Danio rerio: one gene and its partners. The protein of the gene in region 3 purifies or fractionates together with the protein of the main gene of each other region. This does not show direct contact. Links are inferred from orthologs where the notes say so. Each region holds a gene or a part of one and is shown on either strand. Other genes may lie near its edges.

Region 1 (6,753 bases), on a different chromosome or scaffold from region 3:
TAAGCTAATTTTATAACAGGCCCACAGGCAACTCGTGTGATCCTCGCAGGCTACCTGGTGACCACGGGCACCATGTTGGTGACCCCTGGTCTAAAGACATGCGGTACAGTTGAATTAAATAAATTAAATTGGCCGTAGTCTATGATGAATAAATGGACTAAGCCAAGAGGAAAGAAGTGAATAATTTAAGTGTTATTTAATTAAATTGACACACTTAAATTATGTAAAAAAAAAAAAAAAAAAAAACTTTTATTTTGGATGTGATTAATTTGCCCAGCACTTTTTAAGTGAATTACTATGTTTATTATAAGCTTCGACTAGCTATGTACCAATAAGTGCATATTCATCCACTCTCTTTTTTATCTAGAGCAAAATTTACCACATTTTCTACTTAATATATGGTTCCATATTTTATTTCTCACCCAAATAAATCCCACTGGCTTATATTTTATATGCAGTGCCTACAAAAAAAAATCACCAAACCCTTAGTTTATTTGTCAAACAGCCTGAAATTAAATCATATTTCCAAATATCTTTTTTAGCCTTTGAATTATTTTTGTAGCCTTATAGCTCCCCAGATAGCAAAGAATTCTAGCCCAGATTTGGCATAAAGCTGGCACATCGCATAAAGCATATGGGCCAAACATGGCCTGGGTTTGGCAGAGGTGGCAAGATTTGGTTCAGTCATGTACCGTAATTCACTACAGCATGTGGGCCAAGCAAAACCTGATTGTGTGGGCCAGAGCTGGGCTGGCCCACCTGTTCAGTTTTAACCTTTAGTTATAACTAGGCCCACACGGAATCTGCACTCGCAGAATTCCGCAGATTTTTAGCCCATCATTAATTCTGTTTATTTACTTGAGTAAATGTGTGTAAATCTATATTAATTCAGTTTTTAATTACAGTAATATTATTGACTAATGTGAAAATGTTCATCTGTTTTATTTACAATGCAGTTTGTAAAGTGATATTTTCTGTCTTTTACTAGATATATTTTATGAGAGACTTGGTTTGTTTAACAAATAAAGTGAATCTAAATGGATTTGCATTTAAAACATTAAATAAAGGTTAAAAAGATTTAATTTTTTATTTCACATATTAAGGTTTTAGTTATGATACTCCAAAATAATTCCGCAGAAATCCGCAGATTTTTACCAAAATTCTCCACAGAAATAGCAAAAAATTTATGCAGAATCCGTCTGGCCCTAGTTATAATTCAGTCCAGATTTTTGTGATTTTTTATTTTTAAAGTCTATTAAATGTTAATATTTTTATATTGTTATTTTAAGATGATCTGTTACTGGCCTGAAGCAACTTGGTTTACTTGATCATCCACTCAGAATTTTTTAGAAAATAGCTAAAATGTAGGTTTACAAAAATACTTTTGATGGATGCTATTTGTTCACCTCCAGTTAAAACTAAAGAACATTGATTAGTGAATATGTCAATAATCTGAAAGACAATTTAAAGCGAGATATAACTGTATCTAAAATATATAACTGGCATTGATATGTATTTTATGATATATATCCTAATTTCACAATAATAAAACTAATGTAAAATTTTCAAACTAATCATGCATTTGCCATTGCCATTTATAACCTTTTTCTGACATTATATTATTTTTTGGCAACTAAGTAGAGTTAAGAAATTAATATTTTCAATACTATAATCATGGAATAATACTAAATTATCTCTCACAGTCCAAAGACATGTGCTATAGGTGAATCGAATTAGCTAAACTGGCCGTATGTGTGTGCATGAGTGTGTATTGATGTTTCTCATTGGTGGGTTGCAGCTGAAAGAGTATCAGCTGTGTAAAACATATGTTTGATAAGTTGGCGGTTCATTCCATGGGTAGCACAATCGCCTCAGAGCAAGAAGGTCGCTGGTTTGAGCCCCGGCTGGGTCAGTTGGCATTTCTGTGTGGAGTTTGCATGTTCTCCCCCTGTTTGCGTGAGTATCCTCCGGGTGCTCAGTTTCCCCCACAGTCCAAAGACATGCGCTATAGGTGAATTGGTAGGCTAAATTTAAATTGTCCATAATGTATGTGTGTGAATGAGTGTGTGTGTGGACGTTTCCAGTGGTGGGTTGCAGCTGGAAGGGCATCCGCTGCGTAAAATATATGCTGGATAAGTTGGTGGTTCATTCCACTGTGGCAGATTAATGAAGGGACTAAGCAGAAAAGAAAATGAATGAATGATAATAATAATAATAATAATAATAATAATAATAATAATAATAATAATAATAATAATAATAATGTGATGTAAACATTATTAATTATGGAGTACTGATGCCATTGTAATTTATAACTTTTTCAGACATTATATCACTTTTTAGACAACTCAGTAGCAATGATTTAACCTAAAAAGAGTTAAAAAAATCTATATTTTCAATATTGTAATCATGGAGTAATCCTAAATCAGATCAAATGAAATTATTCTGGCCAATTGTCTGGCCAATTTTTAAAAGTAAATTATAAAATTTACGATAATATTTTAAAGAATTGTTTAAAAAAATTTATTATAATAAATATTAACAATGAACTCGATCGAACACCAAATAAATAATTGCTTTTGAATGAATAATGAAATTGAGCTTTTATTTTGAATTTAAGCGGCAGGCGGACATGTTGGAGGTTTCCGCAGAGATGTGTTGATGTGGCTGGATTCCAGAGTTTGCTGCTAAAGTTGAACTGTAAACAATATTCATGGATAACACCGGTAAGGAGAAAGAAGCCACGGCTCTCATGGCAGAAGCCGAGAAAAAAGTCAAATCCTCGCAGTCGTTCTTTGGCTCCCTGTTTGGGTAGGTTTTTATCACTTTTATAACTGAGTTCTGACAGGCCAGCCGGGGGTAAACAGACAGCTAGCATGCTAGTGAGTTAGCTGTCAAAAACGAACTTAATAAAAGTTATTTTCAGAGTGGAAAAACTCCAAAGAACGTTTTGTTTCGCCATTTAAGATTATTAGTTAGTGAATTGTGAACCCATACAGTATGTTAAAGCTGTAAAGCTACTTTAATCTCTTTTTCCCCGCTGAGAAGTCGTAATATAACATAACGTTAAATGGCGCAAAGTTTGACTGTTAGAAACGTAATATATTGTCAGCATTATCTTGTATATATCTAAATCTGAATCTACAAATACATATAGAGCGAATTGTCATTTCTTGTCTTGTGACCTGACATAATGTTTCCATAAAACTGATTATGAAATAGGCGGCGAGACTGAAATGTGACTGAATGCTTTGCTAGTTGTCAGCTGACTTTCACTTCAACAAGTTACAACATCACTGGACTTATTTAAACAGCACATTAACCTGAGAAAACACAAACTAATAACAGCAGGGAACATATAATTAGCAATACATTAATGCAAAAAAAAAACACACTAAATTATTACTTATCATACATGATATATATGGATATGAGCAATTACGTGCAAATGTCAACCTTGCCATGAGAAAAATTAGGTTTTTACCAAAATACGAGAACCGTTTCTGGGTTTTTGTGTAAGTAAGTATTTTACAGTATTTTAGAAATACAGAAAAATGCATCTGTTGATGTTTTCAAACTATTCTATTTACCAAAGTCACACAAGTGGCAATTTCACATCTGTCACATTCATAACGGAGAGATGTCACATTCATAACGACACTTTTTTCTCATAAATGTAAAAATATTAAATTAAATAAAACCAATCATTTTTGTTTTATAGAGAGCCAACTTATAGCAGTTTGATTAGCATTGCTTCTTTTGGGTTGTGCAGTTTAATTCTCAAAAGTTCTACAAAGTATGTTGTGTACTGTACATTTACATTTACATTTAGTCATTTAGCAGACGCTTTTATCCAAAGCGACTTACAAATGAGAACAAGGAAGCAATTTACACAACTAAGAGCAACAATGAATAAGTGCTATAGGCAAGTTTCAGGTCTGTAAAGTCTAAGAAGGAAAGTATTAGTAGTATTAGTATTTGTTTTTTTTGGGTACAGTTAGTGTGATATTCAGAGAGGCTATTGCAGATTAGGAAGTGTAAACCCGCAGACTTTTTTTTTTGTCACATCCACAACGCATGTTTATTCTCATTTAAAGTACAAAACATGTTTACAGAGCGATATTTTTCTGATCCCTTAACTCTGTGGTCTGTTGTTCTGGAAAATATAAACGAAAGTTTCAATATAATGTTAACGTATACTTTCTCTTCGATTTTATTACGTGAAATAGATAACAGTTTCTGTAGGTTTAAGACCTTTTTAAATACACATAAGGAATCTTGAATAGAACGTAATACTCCAATATGCTCTCTAAATGTAAATATGATGCATTACTGATGCTTTAAAGTTTTAGTTTAATATTCAGATCTCTAAACTACCCCTATAGTAGAAAACTGCCCTGATTAAATGGCACCTTAGATGGATGTAAGATAAGACTGTGGTGTCTCCAAAATGTGTCTGTAAAATTTCAGTTCGAATACCCATCAGATTATTTATTATATAATGTAGAACAGGGGTGGGCAGTCTTGGTCCTGGAGGGCTGGTGTCCTGTATAGTTGAGCTCCAACACTAGTCAAACATCTATAAGCAGAAAAAAATCTATAAGCAGGTGTGTTTGATTAGAGTTGGATCTTAACTGTGCAGGACCCTGGCCTTCCAGGACCAAATTTGCCAACCCCCGATGTAGAATCTATCCATTTTAGTGTCTGAGGATTATGTACAGTTGCTATCAGAATTAATTAATCCCCTTTGAATCTTTTTTCTTTTTTAAATATTTGCCAAATGATGTTTAACAGAGCAAGGAAATTTTCACAGCATTTCTTATAATATTTTTTCTTCTGGAGAAAGTCTTATTTGTTTTATTTTGGCTAAAATAAAAGCAGTTTTTAATTTTTAAAAACCATTTGAAGGTCAAAATTATTAGCCCCTTTAACCTATATTTTTTCGATCGTCTACAGAACAAACCATCATTATACAATAACTTGCCTAATTACCCTAACCTGCCTAGTTATCCTAATTAACCTAGTTAAACCTTTAAATGTCACTTTAAGCTGTATAGAAATGTCTTGAAAAATATCTAGTCAAATATTATTTACTGTCATCATGACAAAGAGAAAATAAATCAGTTTTTAGAAATGAGTTATTAAAACTATTATGTTTAGAAATGTGTTGAAAAAATCTGCTCTCCGTTAAACAGACAAGATGTATCAGAAAAAAATAAACAGTGGGGCTAAAAATTCTGGGGGTTTAATAATTCTGATTGCAATTGTAGCTTCCTTAAGTGCAAATGTACTGCTTCTCCCCGCCCACCACTCTGACATTGCGTATCAGCTTCTCCTGCGTCAGATAAATACGTCAGATAAACAGCAGTCAGTGATAGAGAGAGACAGGGATAAGGCTGAAATAAGGTCACGAGTGAAAAATACCAAGTAAGTTTATTTGATGTATTTGTGGTGGAGTTTATTCAAGCTTTTGATGAAATGATGAGTCTCACACAAATGTTGTTTGCAGTACACACACAAATATGTGCGTTTACTGACACTATGCGCCTGTGGTGATTATAGCAGTTAAGAATTACATGTTTTACTCCTTTTACTCTTTTCCGATTTTACTATTTATTACAAACGTGCTCTGCTTTAAAAACGTTTTAAACTTATAAAATTAATTATTCATGTGCAGTTAATCACAGAGACTTGTAATATGTTTTAATCACAGTTTCTTTGCAAAAAGATGTTCTGTGGACACTAGGCATGTAACGGTATTGTAAATACCGTCATACCGCAATATTAATTTTTTTCGATATTACCGAAGTCGCATGACTCGGTAAAACTATAGGTCTTCTGAGAAAATTTGCTCAGGCGAATGAAGCGAACGGGAGGTAACGAAAACTACAATTGCCATCAGCCCATGCTTGACCATCATCCCTTGCGGTCTGTTGTTGCTACAGATCCAGTAATGCGGAAATGGAGTGTGCTGCTAGAAGCGGGGATGAAAAGAGCTGGAAAACTCTAAAGCAGGTCGCACACCAGAAGCGCCGCTCGGCGCCGCGACACGGCGCGTACATGACAGATTAAAGTAATATCGCACACCAGACGCGCACATTCGAATGATATTTAACATGAAACTAATCAGATGACGCTCTGTGGCGCGGCTGAAAAATGAACTGCGTCCTGAGCCGTCGCCGGGCGCCGCCGACAGCCGCCGGTGTGTGTATCCTGATAGAAACCTATGATTAGAATTCTAAAATACATGGCGCTGCGTGGCGCTGCGCGGCGCGCCGCCGAGCGTCGCTTCTGGTGTGCGACCTGCTTTACACGCACAGTTCAGTCCTGCATTATCTCCGTGTAAGTTCAGACTTCGCAAGTTTGATCAAGGCTGCAGTCTCTTCTTCTCAGTTTGATATGGAAAAGCAGATTATACCGAGGACACGGGTAAATCTTCAAAGGGAACCATGTACTTTATAACTTCATTCACATCACCCTGGCTTCGTTGTTTCACTTTCTCAACAATAAAATGTAAACATGATTTAAGGAACTGCCTATTTTCATTTTAATATTAGCAACTTAGACAGCAGAAATGTTGAGGCGTCGTGCTGCATAAGATGAGCGTCATCTTCACTGTGTGGATATTTATAACAAAACGGAGCCGATAACAACTGCCTCCTTTCAATTTCAGTGAAAATACGAAACACACCCTCTCTTTTGCTGAATATCAGTTTTAAGAATCGATAATGGCCATTTTAAAAGTATAACATA
Region 2 (6,535 bases), on a different chromosome or scaffold from region 3:
ATAAATTGACCCAGACTCAGCACTGTAAAATGGGTTCCACATATTCAATTTGTGTTGGGACAACATGAAGGAATTTACTTAACTTATTAGTTTTTACAAGCATTCAGTAAGTGGATTAAACATAAAACAATTAAGTTTTCCACAAAAACACGTCAGAATTGTGTTGTTTAAGCTTATTTTAAATAAGTATTTTAAACAAACAGAAAACATCATTTCTTTTGAGAGTGCAGCATTTCAGTATCTCTTTCATCAGACAGACAGTAATGTCAGAAAATTCTTTCAGATACTAAATTAAGATGCTTTCAGCCTCATTTGAGGAGTTATTATCCATCAGTTCATCTTTTTTAAGTCAACACAAATGCAGATTACTGCAACTTGGTTAAACACAGGACAGAATTTCAACTGATGGCAATGATATGAGATTTTCAAAATATACTAATCGACTCCAAGAATATTTTCAACAATATTTAAAAAAACTCCTATTCCCTATATAGTACCTTTAGTACCTTTTAGGCAGTGGAAAGCAAGCCTGATAAAGGTGACCCGTACCAACGGTTACCGTACCATACAGTACTGTTATAGTCAGTGGAAATGGGCCATATAAGACAAACATGTGAATAGGCAAGAAAAGTCAAGCTTTTAAAACCGCCAACATTTTCTGCTATACCATTCCTATGGTATATAAGAGTTTCTTTTTTATGTTTTGTTTAAAGTATTTTATATAACAGTATCTCAAGCAGAAAATGATATCCAAAGAATTAAAATTTAAACCCCATTTTAAATTGTAATGAAATCTGTGACAGCAGAAGTCTGTGACAGCAGAAGTCTGTGACAGCAGAAAGCAGAAGTCAATGATTCATTTAAATTATTTAGCCTAACATGTTTACTGTCCCAACATATTTAAAAAGCTTCTCAAGAACACACTGTGATCAAAGCAGAAAAAAAGTTTTAGTTTTTTACCTAGACATTTAAAAAGAACATATGTTAGAGCAGTAATCACAATACCTGTGATATTTTTATCTAAGGTTATCATACATCAGAATCTTATACCGGCCTATGCCTCAATGTGAATGAAGAAAATCATTAACCCACTCTCCAAACCTGTCTTGAGTTGGTTTCTTCAGTTGAACACGATACATTAAGATATTTTGAAAAATGCTGTAAACTGGTAACCATAGATAGTAGATACCAACAGATTCAAGATTCCAACATTATCAAATGCGTCTTACTTTGTGATGACCAGAAAACAGAAAAGCAAAACTTTGAAACCAAATAGTAAATAGTTTATAAAATGTTCTTCTAGGGTGAACTATCTCTTAAATTTTAATATGTGAATAAAGTTATTGTTTATAGTATATTTTAAAAAATGCACTGAGCAATTGATAAACACAGAGGTGGACAAACTACGGCCCGCGGGCCATATGCAGCTCGCTGAACACTTTCATGCGCCCGCCAGGGAGTTTTTAAAATGCTGCTTCTGAGTAACGGTTTAATTTCAGAATTAGTAAATTAATGATGCAATACAAGTGAATACCATTTGATGGCAGTATTGCATGCAGTACAGTTAGTGCAACTAGAATTAGAACACACTCTCGGATATTACAATGCACTCGACCTTTTATGACTGAAAAGGAGTCAGGGAAAAATTTTTACTTTGAATGTCGTGTGTTTATGAAAGAATGGACAACAAAATACTTCTTCACCAATACGGGACAGAAAGCTGTAGGTCTAATATGCCAAAAAAAATATTGCTGTTTTTAAGGGCTACAACCTAAGAGGCCGATCACACTGAACGCGCATTTACATTCCAAAAACACAAGGATGCTCTGCACTGCCTTTTTGTTGACAAGAAAAAAGGAGCACACTGCGCTTTTTTTATGTTGCTAGTCAAAGACTGGATCAGCTGGGTATTTTGCGAGAGTGTTGCAGTTAATATTAATGTAACGTTATTTTCAGGCTCATTGTTCACGTTAACACTCATAATGACATGACTTGGAATAACAAAGACTAAGGCCCCGTTTACACTAGTGCGTTTTAGTTTTAAAACGGCGTTGTAGAATGAAAACGATCCGCATCCACACTAGCGTTTTACCCAGCGTTTCTGAACTGCTCTCCGTCCACACCAAAACGCTGAAAACGCACATCACGTGACCACACAGACACACTTGGGCAAGCGCTCCAGCATTTCTACCCAGATGAGAGCTCTGCTTGTCGGACTGCTCATCAAGCATCTCCCGCTGGATCTAATCTCACTATATTTGCTAAACGTGATATTTCATTCATGTTGTTGTCTTTATCTAACGACATAGGCCAATTCCCTGACTTTGGTCATTGGAATCTATTAACTTACTTGTTCACGGGTAACATGTTTTGGTTAAGCGCAAAGATAAGTTAATGATTAATCCAGGTACATTGACTGATCGCTTGCCTTTATTTCCTACAATGTATAAACTTATTGTATGTTATACTTTTATAATTATCGATTATTAAAACTGATATTCAGCAAAAGAGAGGGTGCGTTTCGTATTTTCACTGAAATTGAAAGGAGGCAGTTGTTATAAGGCTCCGTTTTGTTATAAATATCCACACAGTGAAGATGACGCTCATATATGCAACACAACGCCTCAACATTTCTGCTGTCTGTTAAGTTGCTAATATTAAAAAGAAAATAGGCAGTTCCTTAAATCATGTTTATATTTTATTGTTGAGAAAGTGAAACAACGTAGCCAAGGTGATGTGAATGAAGTTATAAAGTACACTGTTCCCTTTGAAGATTTACGCGTGTCCTCGGTATGTTTTCCATATCAAACTGAGAAAGGGGAGACTGCAGCCTTGATCAAACTTGCGAAGTCTGAACTTACAAGAAGAGGATGCGAGACTGAACTGTGTGTGGGCTACTTAATATTGAGGAAAAGCCCCAATCAGATAGGCAAACGTTTCCAGCCCCGCCTCCGTTTTCAGATGTCTCCGTCTTTCCCCATCCACACTGAGACGGAGCAGCAGCATTTTAGAATGAAAACGGCCTCTCCAGCATTTTCAAAAAGCTCTGTTTTCGGCGCTCGAGAACTCCGGCGTAGTGTGGACGGATGGCGTAACCGTAGCAAAACTTATGCGTTTTCAAACTAAAACGCACTAGTGTAAACGGGGCCTAAGATTCTTCTTCCGTTTTATCTCATAGTTTTATAATGATTGATATGAGCATATTAATACAAGCTCAAATGAGATTGTTGTGAATTTGACTCAAAATATATAATGGTTGCTGGTTAAATGTGTTAATTTTTTTACACAGAGTATATTTTCCATCCATACATCCACTTTAAAAAGTTCTTTTGTCAAAGATTTGTGGTTTTATCAAGTTTTAAGATGATTGATCTGTATTTTCTAAAAGAAGTGCAAATTAGATTATTGTAAATTTGACTAAATAGCAAACTTTAAGAATTATTTTTAATGTGTTAATATGGGATTTTGTCTATCAGACAATATCTTTTCTATTCTTCGCTGCAAAATTATTACATCATTATCAGTATTACATTCTATTAGAGATTATTTTATTGTTTTATGATAATTGATAAATATAAATAGCAGAGCAAATTCATTTTACTTGTCAATTTGACTCGATAATAATTATTTTAAAAATCTGTTTTGTGTTAATCTGACATGTTTCTGTCCGATATTACATGTTCTAAGCATACTGCCACTATAAATAAAAGATATGTTTTGAAGGATTTGGCATGTGGCCCTTTACTTGGTTTGCAAAACGTGAAGTGGCCCTCTGGTCTAAAAAGTTTGCCCACCACTGGATTAACAAAACTGATTGAAGAACAATCATTTGTGAAGCTTGTAAGTTATAACTTGTTTGTTGATTAATTTGCCGCAGCTTTGCCAAATACAAACTACATCCTTTTAACTCACTCAAAATTAAAATAATTGTACACTTAAAACAAAACAAATATGTTATTATAATGGTGATATGTCTGTGGTTTGTGTATGCTTAATGTCTAAAGTTTCCACAAACTTTTATCAGTCAAAACAAACTGTAAGCAGTTAGCATGTAAGTTAGCGCTAATGCGAACATAAACACAAATCTCTTTTAAACACTCAAACGGACATTAAACTTCACTTACGGTGTCATAATCAACTATCCCAAATAAAAGCAACCGAAAACAAGACCGAAAGTAAATTAAAGTAAACAAATTGTCAACAAACTGAAGCTAAAGCTAAGCTAAAAGCTAACCTGTTGCTTTGGCCGTATTCACACCCATTAGAACACAACACAAACTTTCCCAGCACATCAATATTTAGGTATTAAAAAAAAAACAAAAGCAAAACATATATCATCACATGTTCATATCACATCGCTGAGCTAGTGCAATTTTAATTTTACTTACATGGTTGTTGAGTTGATGTGTGATTTGTGAAGGCCCGCTGATGATGATACAACTGTTATTACTGTGTAAGCGAGTGAGCGTCAGCGCGCGCGTGCACGTAGAATATAGCTCACGCACACACACAGTGAAAGTTTTCCCCATCATATAAGTAATTTCATAGGTTATAATAAAAATATACAGTCATTGTAAAACTCTCTCAATTCAGTTCAATTCAAAAACTGCTTTATTGGCATGACATGTTACAAATATATTCATTCATTTTCTTTTCGGCTTTGTACTTCATTAATCAGGGGTCGCCACAGTGGAATGAACCGCCTACAAATGTATTGTCAAAGCACTAAAGTTTACATTAAAAGAACATACATAATAAATAGTTTAAAAACACACTAAACACAGTAAACAGTAGTAGTAGTAGTAAAATAATAATAATAATAATAATAATAATAATAATAATAATAATAATAAAGATGATAATAAAAAATAATGATCTAATAATCTAATGATGATAATAAGATCTCTATTTCTCTCTCTTTTTCTCTCTATTCTTATATTAAGACTAGCAAAAATGGCAATATACATTAGTATAGGAGGAACAAGATTTTGTGTGAGACCATTTATAAAGTTGAACTTATTTTTAAAAGGCTTATTAGAGCAAGAATTAGACATGATTTTAATTTTTATTTGTCAATGAAAGAGTTGAACAAGTTTGAAGACATGTGGAGTGTAAAAAATGTTGTGTTGGGCTGAAAATAATGTATGGTTTTTGATGAAAATATTGTGTGATTTAGAAATTTGTTTAAATCAATGAAACATGTTGTAGTTTAATTTTTTATTAAATGAAGGTGTATTCAATTTCAAAATTTTCTCTCTCAAACAAACACACACGCACACACAAACACAGATAATTAAACTACATTTAACAGCTATGGAAAAAATTAAGACACCATTGGTCTAAATTTTAATATTTTTATTTGAAAATTTAAACATGCTAATCACAAACCTTTTGTAGAATAAACCAAATATTAAACCTTTAATCAAACACATACCATCGAATATTTATATATACCTAATCATTTTATACAAATATAAATTAAATTATTGTTTTGCTGATAAGTAAGGTGTAGTGTCATCTACACTATTTGGTATAAATATATATATTTTTAATTATAAGAAATTAGCCTATATAAAGTATGTACACACACACACGCACGCACGCACCACGCACGCACGCACGCACGCACGCACGCACGCACGCACGCACGCACACACACACACACACACACACATATATATATATATGTGAATATATATATGTACATATATATATATATATATATATATATATATATATATATATATATATATATATATATCAGAATTCATTATATATGTAAGTCAGAATTATTAGCCCCTCTGAATTATTAGACCCCGTTTATTTTTCCCCCAATTTCTGTTGAGAAGATTTTTTCAACAAATTTCTAATCATAATAGTTTTAATAACTCTTTACTAATAACTGATTTATTTTATCTTTGTTATGATTTGACATGACAGTATATATTATTTGACTAGATTTTTTTCAAGACACTTCTATACAGCTTAAAGAGACATTTAAAGGCTTAACTAGGTTAATGGTAACTAGGTTAGGGTAATTTGGCAAGTTATTGTATAACGATGGTTTGTTCTGTAGTCTATCGAGAGAGAAAAAATAATTAATAATAATTTTGTCCTTAAAATGCAAATGAGATTTTCTCCGGAAGAAAAAATATTATCAGACATACTGTGAAAATTTCCTTGCTCTTTTAAACATAATTTGGGAAATATTTAAGAAAGGGAATTATATATATATATATATATATATATATATATATATATATATATATATATATATATATATATATATATATATATATATATATATATATATATATATATACTGCAACATTGTTGAACATTGAGTACACCCCATTTTGAAAATTAATATTTTTATCCATTTCTCAGTAAATATATGCATCGTATTTTGGTGCATTTAAACAAAACAGATTCATTAAACGGATATATTTATTAATTTAATATATTTGAGTCACCAAACATATTTATAAATTGAAAGATAGCACAACTAAATTCAAGCAAAATATTGCAAAAATAA
Region 3 (5,477 bases):
AGTCTACAGAACAAGCCATCATTATACAATAACTAATTACCCTAACTAATTAGCCTAATTACCCTAACCTGTCTAGTTAACTTAATTAACCTAGTTAAGCCTTTAACTGTCACTTTAACCTTAAATTGTTAAATTATAAAATAGCATTAAGAATGTAATCCGGAATCTACTCCAGTTTTGCAGATTAAGGATTTCATGCCAAAGATGATCAGTAGAAGGACAAAATTACAGTAAAAAAAAAAAAAAAAAAAACCAGAATAAGTATAAATCTTGCATCACTTTATTTCCTAGTGTATAATGTTACCTAAAAATAAACACTTGTTGTACTTGTTGGTCAGGTGGTGACTTCCTGTCTAAGCAGGCAGTTCAAGACCTATAATAAACTACAATATGTCTCTGTTTGGTGGCATTTAACTACTATTAGGACTCATTGTTTTTACCCTGCCACATCAAAATCTGCAGCTGGACTCCACATGTACAGTTTGTTAGTGCTTATTTTTGGACTGTTACAGCGGATTTTTAATTCCTCATTAATTATTAAGATGAGTCACCTTAAAGGGTTAGTTCACCCAAAAATATAAATTCTGTTATTTATTACACATCCTCATCTAATAGAAAATCAGCAGTTCAAGTGGGAATGGGAAGATCATTCCACCAACATGAAACGTTGATTAAAAATGTTTTGGAAAGTGACTTGGGTCTTTTTTGTGATGGTGCTCATTTTCTAAAAACCATTATCAAACATTCCATGTTCAACTTCAGTAGTTCAACTGTAATCATAGTATAAATTTGCAGTTGGTGTGAATCATAAGCTCTCGCGGGTCAGATAAATTGATATGGCAGAGTAGGCTGGAATTTGATATTTCATTAATTTGCATATAAAGCACAAATAAACACAACAATAGTTGACCACTGTGCTGTAGAACGAGGCAAGAAGGATATCAAATAGATAAAAATATACTTATAAATACAAAACCCTGCAGACAAAAAAAATTATAAAAGTAGAGTTAAAAGTAAGCCCGCACAGAATCTGTGTGCACAGTAATCCGCAGATTTTAAGCCCATCATCTTTTTCATCTAAGCCCACCAGTCTTTTTATTTACTTGTAATTCTGTGTAAACTTATATTAATTCAGTTTTTTTTTATTAATTTCTGTTATATGATTGACTAATATGAAAATGTTCATATGATTTATTTACTATGCAGTTTGTAAAGTCATATTTTCTGTCTTTTAGTAGATATATATTATAATAGACACTTGCTTTGTTTACCAAATAAGTGGATCTAATTGGATTCACATTGTAAAGTTTCATATATTAAGTTTTTAGTTACGATATTCCCAAAATTTTTCCTTACAAATCCTCAGATTCTTTTTTTACAAAACTCTCGACAGAAATAGCAAAAAATGTCTGCAGATTTTGTCTGGACCTAGTTAAAAGCAAGCATGCAAAGATGCAACTGTAACTTGGATTTAAAATGATTGAAGGAAGATGCAGATATCACAGATAGGGGAGGATTATTCCACATAGATGTTATACATGTGATATAGACATTTGTTTTTACAGTTGTTGATTTTTGACACACAAAAGTAGTTTGGTTCTTTTTCTGTACTTTGCACATATTGGGACTATTGCTAATTATATGGAGGATGAGAAAGCTCTCAGATTTCATCTAAAATATCTTAATTTGTGCTCCTAAGATGACCAATGTTTCCATTGTTTTGCATTAATAAAGATTTACTGTATGCTTTATTGCCATTTTTTTTCTTTCCCCGAAGAATAACAAATGATGCTCGAGAAGATGAGATGGAGGAGAATCTGGACCAGGTGGGCAGCATCATTGGCAATCTCAAAAATCTGGCTTTGGACATGGGCAATGAGATCGACAAACAAAACAAGACCATTGATCGTATCACTGATAAGGTAAAGATACACACACTTACACTGCTGAGTAGATTACAGTACATTATTAGTTACATATTGTATAATGAAAATAGTAGTTTGTAAAGGCCCGGTTGGATCACACGATTTTGGCATGATTTTTTTGACCTTGGGTGTTGTAGAGATTGGTAAACAACAAATAGACGTCAGGACAAAAGATTCCATCGTTTCTTCACCTGTAATGTGGCATAGTTCACGACAACCGATCCCATGCCTGCGACACCTCGCGACACCGTCGCAGAAAGTCTAGCATGTTTATTCTTTTGTTGTTTCTTACGATGATGTCCACCACGTGTGTGGCACGGCCCAATAAGAGCACATAATATACAAGTTATTTTTGTAGGTGCTCCTGTTAATGAGCTGGTCAGGTAATCAAAAAACAGGCTGCAAATTTACAGATGGGTCAGTCACGGGTGGATATGACCAGTCATTGGCTATGCAAACTTTAACTACTTTCTCTAAAATATGAAAGTGTTTTAAGCAATTTTATCTGACAGACTGGCACAAATATGCCCACTTCTCCATTCAGAGTTCTCTCTTCCAGGGGCACCAGCAGGATTTTATTCAAAGATACGCACATATATAGCACCACCCGGCCCCATCATCCCTTATTCTCATTTCAATCTCAAAAAACACTGATGCTTGCTGTCAAGGCTACATTTATTCATTGTCGCAAGTGAGACCGAGAAAATGAAAGCACATCACTGTATTTCAATAATTTAAATTATTAATTACAATAATTTATCATTAATAAAATAGTATAATATAAAATTAATAATTAGGCTAATTTTAATATATTTTTGTTGCTCAGTTATCTACAAAATAAACAAGAATAGCACCTGAGGTGAAGTGCTTCAAAACCGGTCCGCTATAACCTTTGCTTCAGAGCCAAAACTCAAACTGGTTTGTTAAATAAAATATAATCAAGCCTAAATAAAATTAAAGTGAAATATTCACAGTTTCAGAGAAGCCTATATTAAACTGTTTGTCACTGTAAGTGACGAAACCATCCGTTGCGCCGCTCAATTACAGTTTAATTTGTTTAATCATGTATGTTTTTTTTTTTTTTTTTTTTTTACATCTCCCACCATGCAAGTACATACACACTTTAAAACACACAATCACACCTTTAATTATTCTCATTCTTTCTTGCTTTGTCAATATATCGTAGTGTATACTGTTTAATAATAAATTCACATTATTTAATAAATAAATAAGCGGCATTAATTTGTGCCCTCTCATGGTTGAAACGCACAATGTACGGCTGCAGGCGCCACTGCTCTCAACTTTCCAACTGAGTTTGTTCTAATAAAAGCCAGTCCTGCTTATTCAAATGTGTCATTCATAATAACAGTTTAATATAGGCTTCTCTGAAACTGTGAATATTTAACTTTAATTTTATTTAAGCTAGATTATATTTTTATTTACCAAACCAACACAATCTCACGGCAACTCATGTTTTAGCGCTGAAGCATGGGCCTATAGTGAACTTGTTTTGAAGCACTTCACTTTAAAGGTTATTCGTTTTTTTTTTTTTTATCTAGTAGTTAACTGACCAACAAAAAATACATTACAATTAAGATACATTTTATAGCTAACAAAAATCCGTTTCAAAAAGATATTTTTTCCAAGAAACATTTATGAATTATATTTTAGTTTGTGCCCGTCCAACTGTGCGGTGATGATTTGATGCGCTCCGTAGAAAATAAGGATTTAATTAATTCTTCACTGCTTCACAGCTGCTGATGTTCTTTCATTTCATGTTCAGGCAAGGGAGTGTTTAATAGAAACATTGGCAGAAAAATATACAATTTCAAAGAAAATATATTCATATTAAAAAAGAAACATAAAAGTTTGATCCTATCAATGTCATAACAAATGCCTTTAAATAGTTATTAGGCCAAGTTGTCAGCCAGCATTAGTGTTTATTGAGTTTGAAGTTAATTATATTGAGATAAGAAATATTGTTACAGCAACACTCCAATACACCACTTATCTCATTTTTGATTGCGACTTGTAAAAAGCATTTACGTTCTTGTCCTTTTTTATGAGAAATTTTCCAAAGCTTTAAAGACACCTGACTCTTCATTTAATAAACACTTTATTTGCGACACACACTCTGCCAATTTTATGTTTTTAAGTCATTTAATTCAAGTCATTTTAAGTCATAAGTTTACATATAACTTGCAGAAAAAAATAGCATTTTGCATTTAGTACTGGCCTAAACAAGCTTTTGCATCAACAAATTCATAATCATTACTTTTGCCGGTGCAAGTTTTATGGATGCGCTTGAACACGGAATAGGCTATAAGCATGTATAATTTTGCATCATATCGAAGGAATCGTAAGTTTGGTCCTATCCTAACGAATGCTCTTAAATAATGTAGTTAGTTGTCTGCAAGCATCAGTGTTTATTAAAATTAAAATAAGATAAAAAATAATAAACAAATTGAAATCGAGATTAAAAAAATATATTGTTATAGCAACATTTGTGACTGCTTTGAAATGACACCCACGACAAGTCAAGATTTTATCAAGAAAAAAAATTAAAAATCGCATGATCTGACATAGTTACTTTCGTAACCGACAATAAAAATCGTATGATCTGACCGGGGCTTAAAGCAATCCATGTTTTGTTTACTTTTGGTCTTGAGACTTACTCTAATTAGATGTTCTTTTGTTAATTATTGTTTATTATTATTAATATTAGTAGCATGTATGCTGTTTTGATTGCCCAAACCTAAGCATAACTACTGCAACCAATATACTTGATGGACTTCTTTAAGTAGCAATGATTGCATTTATTAAAGGAAAACATAAATTATGATACCAGAATAATATAAATAATGGTAATATAAAGATAATTGTAATCATTCATAATACTTATATGAATAATACACATACATATTTCATGTTCGGCCTATAACGTAACAGGGCTATTAAATGTGTTATTTATTATTATATTGAAAATGTAAAGTGGAAAAATGTTTGGGGGTCCCAGTTGCTTTCTTGGATGCCTATAAGCTGAAAATGTTTGAAGAATATTAATATTATTATAGTATTTAAACTGTATTTTTAATATATAATTAACTCTACATATTTTGCTTTATATAAATGCATGTTCAGCAGTAGAATAAATTGCCATTACCAGTAACCTCTATAAAATATTAACGCCTACCTTTTATATGGTTAAATTACAGCATTCAGACCATCCGTGGCTACACAGTAATGATGTAATTGTGATTTATGGCTTAAGATTTTAGAAAACTGATAAAACCTGGCCTAACATTAGCTTTTTTGTAGGCAATATTTGAAGAATATTTGAAGAAGCTACCATACCATAGTTTATCGTCATATTCCTTTCTAGAGTTATATTGCTTTGGTACTCCCTTTATACATAAAATAATTCATAAATAATCCTAAAAATAGTTTTAGGATTTTTTTCTTCTTCTGTTGAACACAAAAAAAGATAGTTTAAAGAACGTTGGAAAAATGTAGACATTTATTTCCTTTGTAGGAACAAAAAGTGCTATGCAA

Evidence for each region.
Region 1: the proteins of snap23.1 (region 3) and napab purify together in Homo sapiens (affinity purification with mass spectrometry; 4 studies listed by BioGRID and IntAct, with this or other methods). This does not show direct contact. The link is inferred for Danio rerio from reciprocal best matches to the Homo sapiens genes SNAP23 and NAPA.
Region 2: the proteins of snap23.1 (region 3) and vamp3 purify together in Homo sapiens (affinity purification with western blotting; 6 studies listed by BioGRID and IntAct, with this or other methods). This does not show direct contact. The link is inferred for Danio rerio from reciprocal best matches to the Homo sapiens genes SNAP23 and VAMP3.

What each region holds. Positions count from the first base shown.
Region 1 is NC_133193.1:47,630,129-47,636,881, forward strand, and holds the start of napab (N-ethylmaleimide-sensitive factor attachment protein, alpha b), read left to right. Parts: upstream 1-2,648; 5' UTR 2,649-2,713; coding exon 2,714-2,811; intron 2,812-6,753. UniProt on the Homo sapiens protein: Required for vesicular transport between the endoplasmic reticulum and the Golgi apparatus. Together with GNA12 promotes CDH5 localization to plasma membrane.
Region 2 is NC_133186.1:42,677,220-42,683,754, reverse strand, and holds the start of vamp3 (vesicle-associated membrane protein 3), read right to left. Parts: upstream 4,515-6,535; 5' UTR 4,391-4,514; coding exon 4,389-4,390; intron 1-4,388. UniProt on the Homo sapiens protein: SNARE involved in vesicular transport from the late endosomes to the trans-Golgi network.
Region 3 is NC_133192.1:35,130,367-35,135,843, forward strand, and holds part of snap23.1 (synaptosome associated protein 23.1), read left to right. Parts: intron 1-1,777; coding exon 1,778-1,922; intron 1,923-5,477. UniProt on the Homo sapiens protein: Essential component of the high affinity receptor for the general membrane fusion machinery and an important regulator of transport vesicle docking and fusion.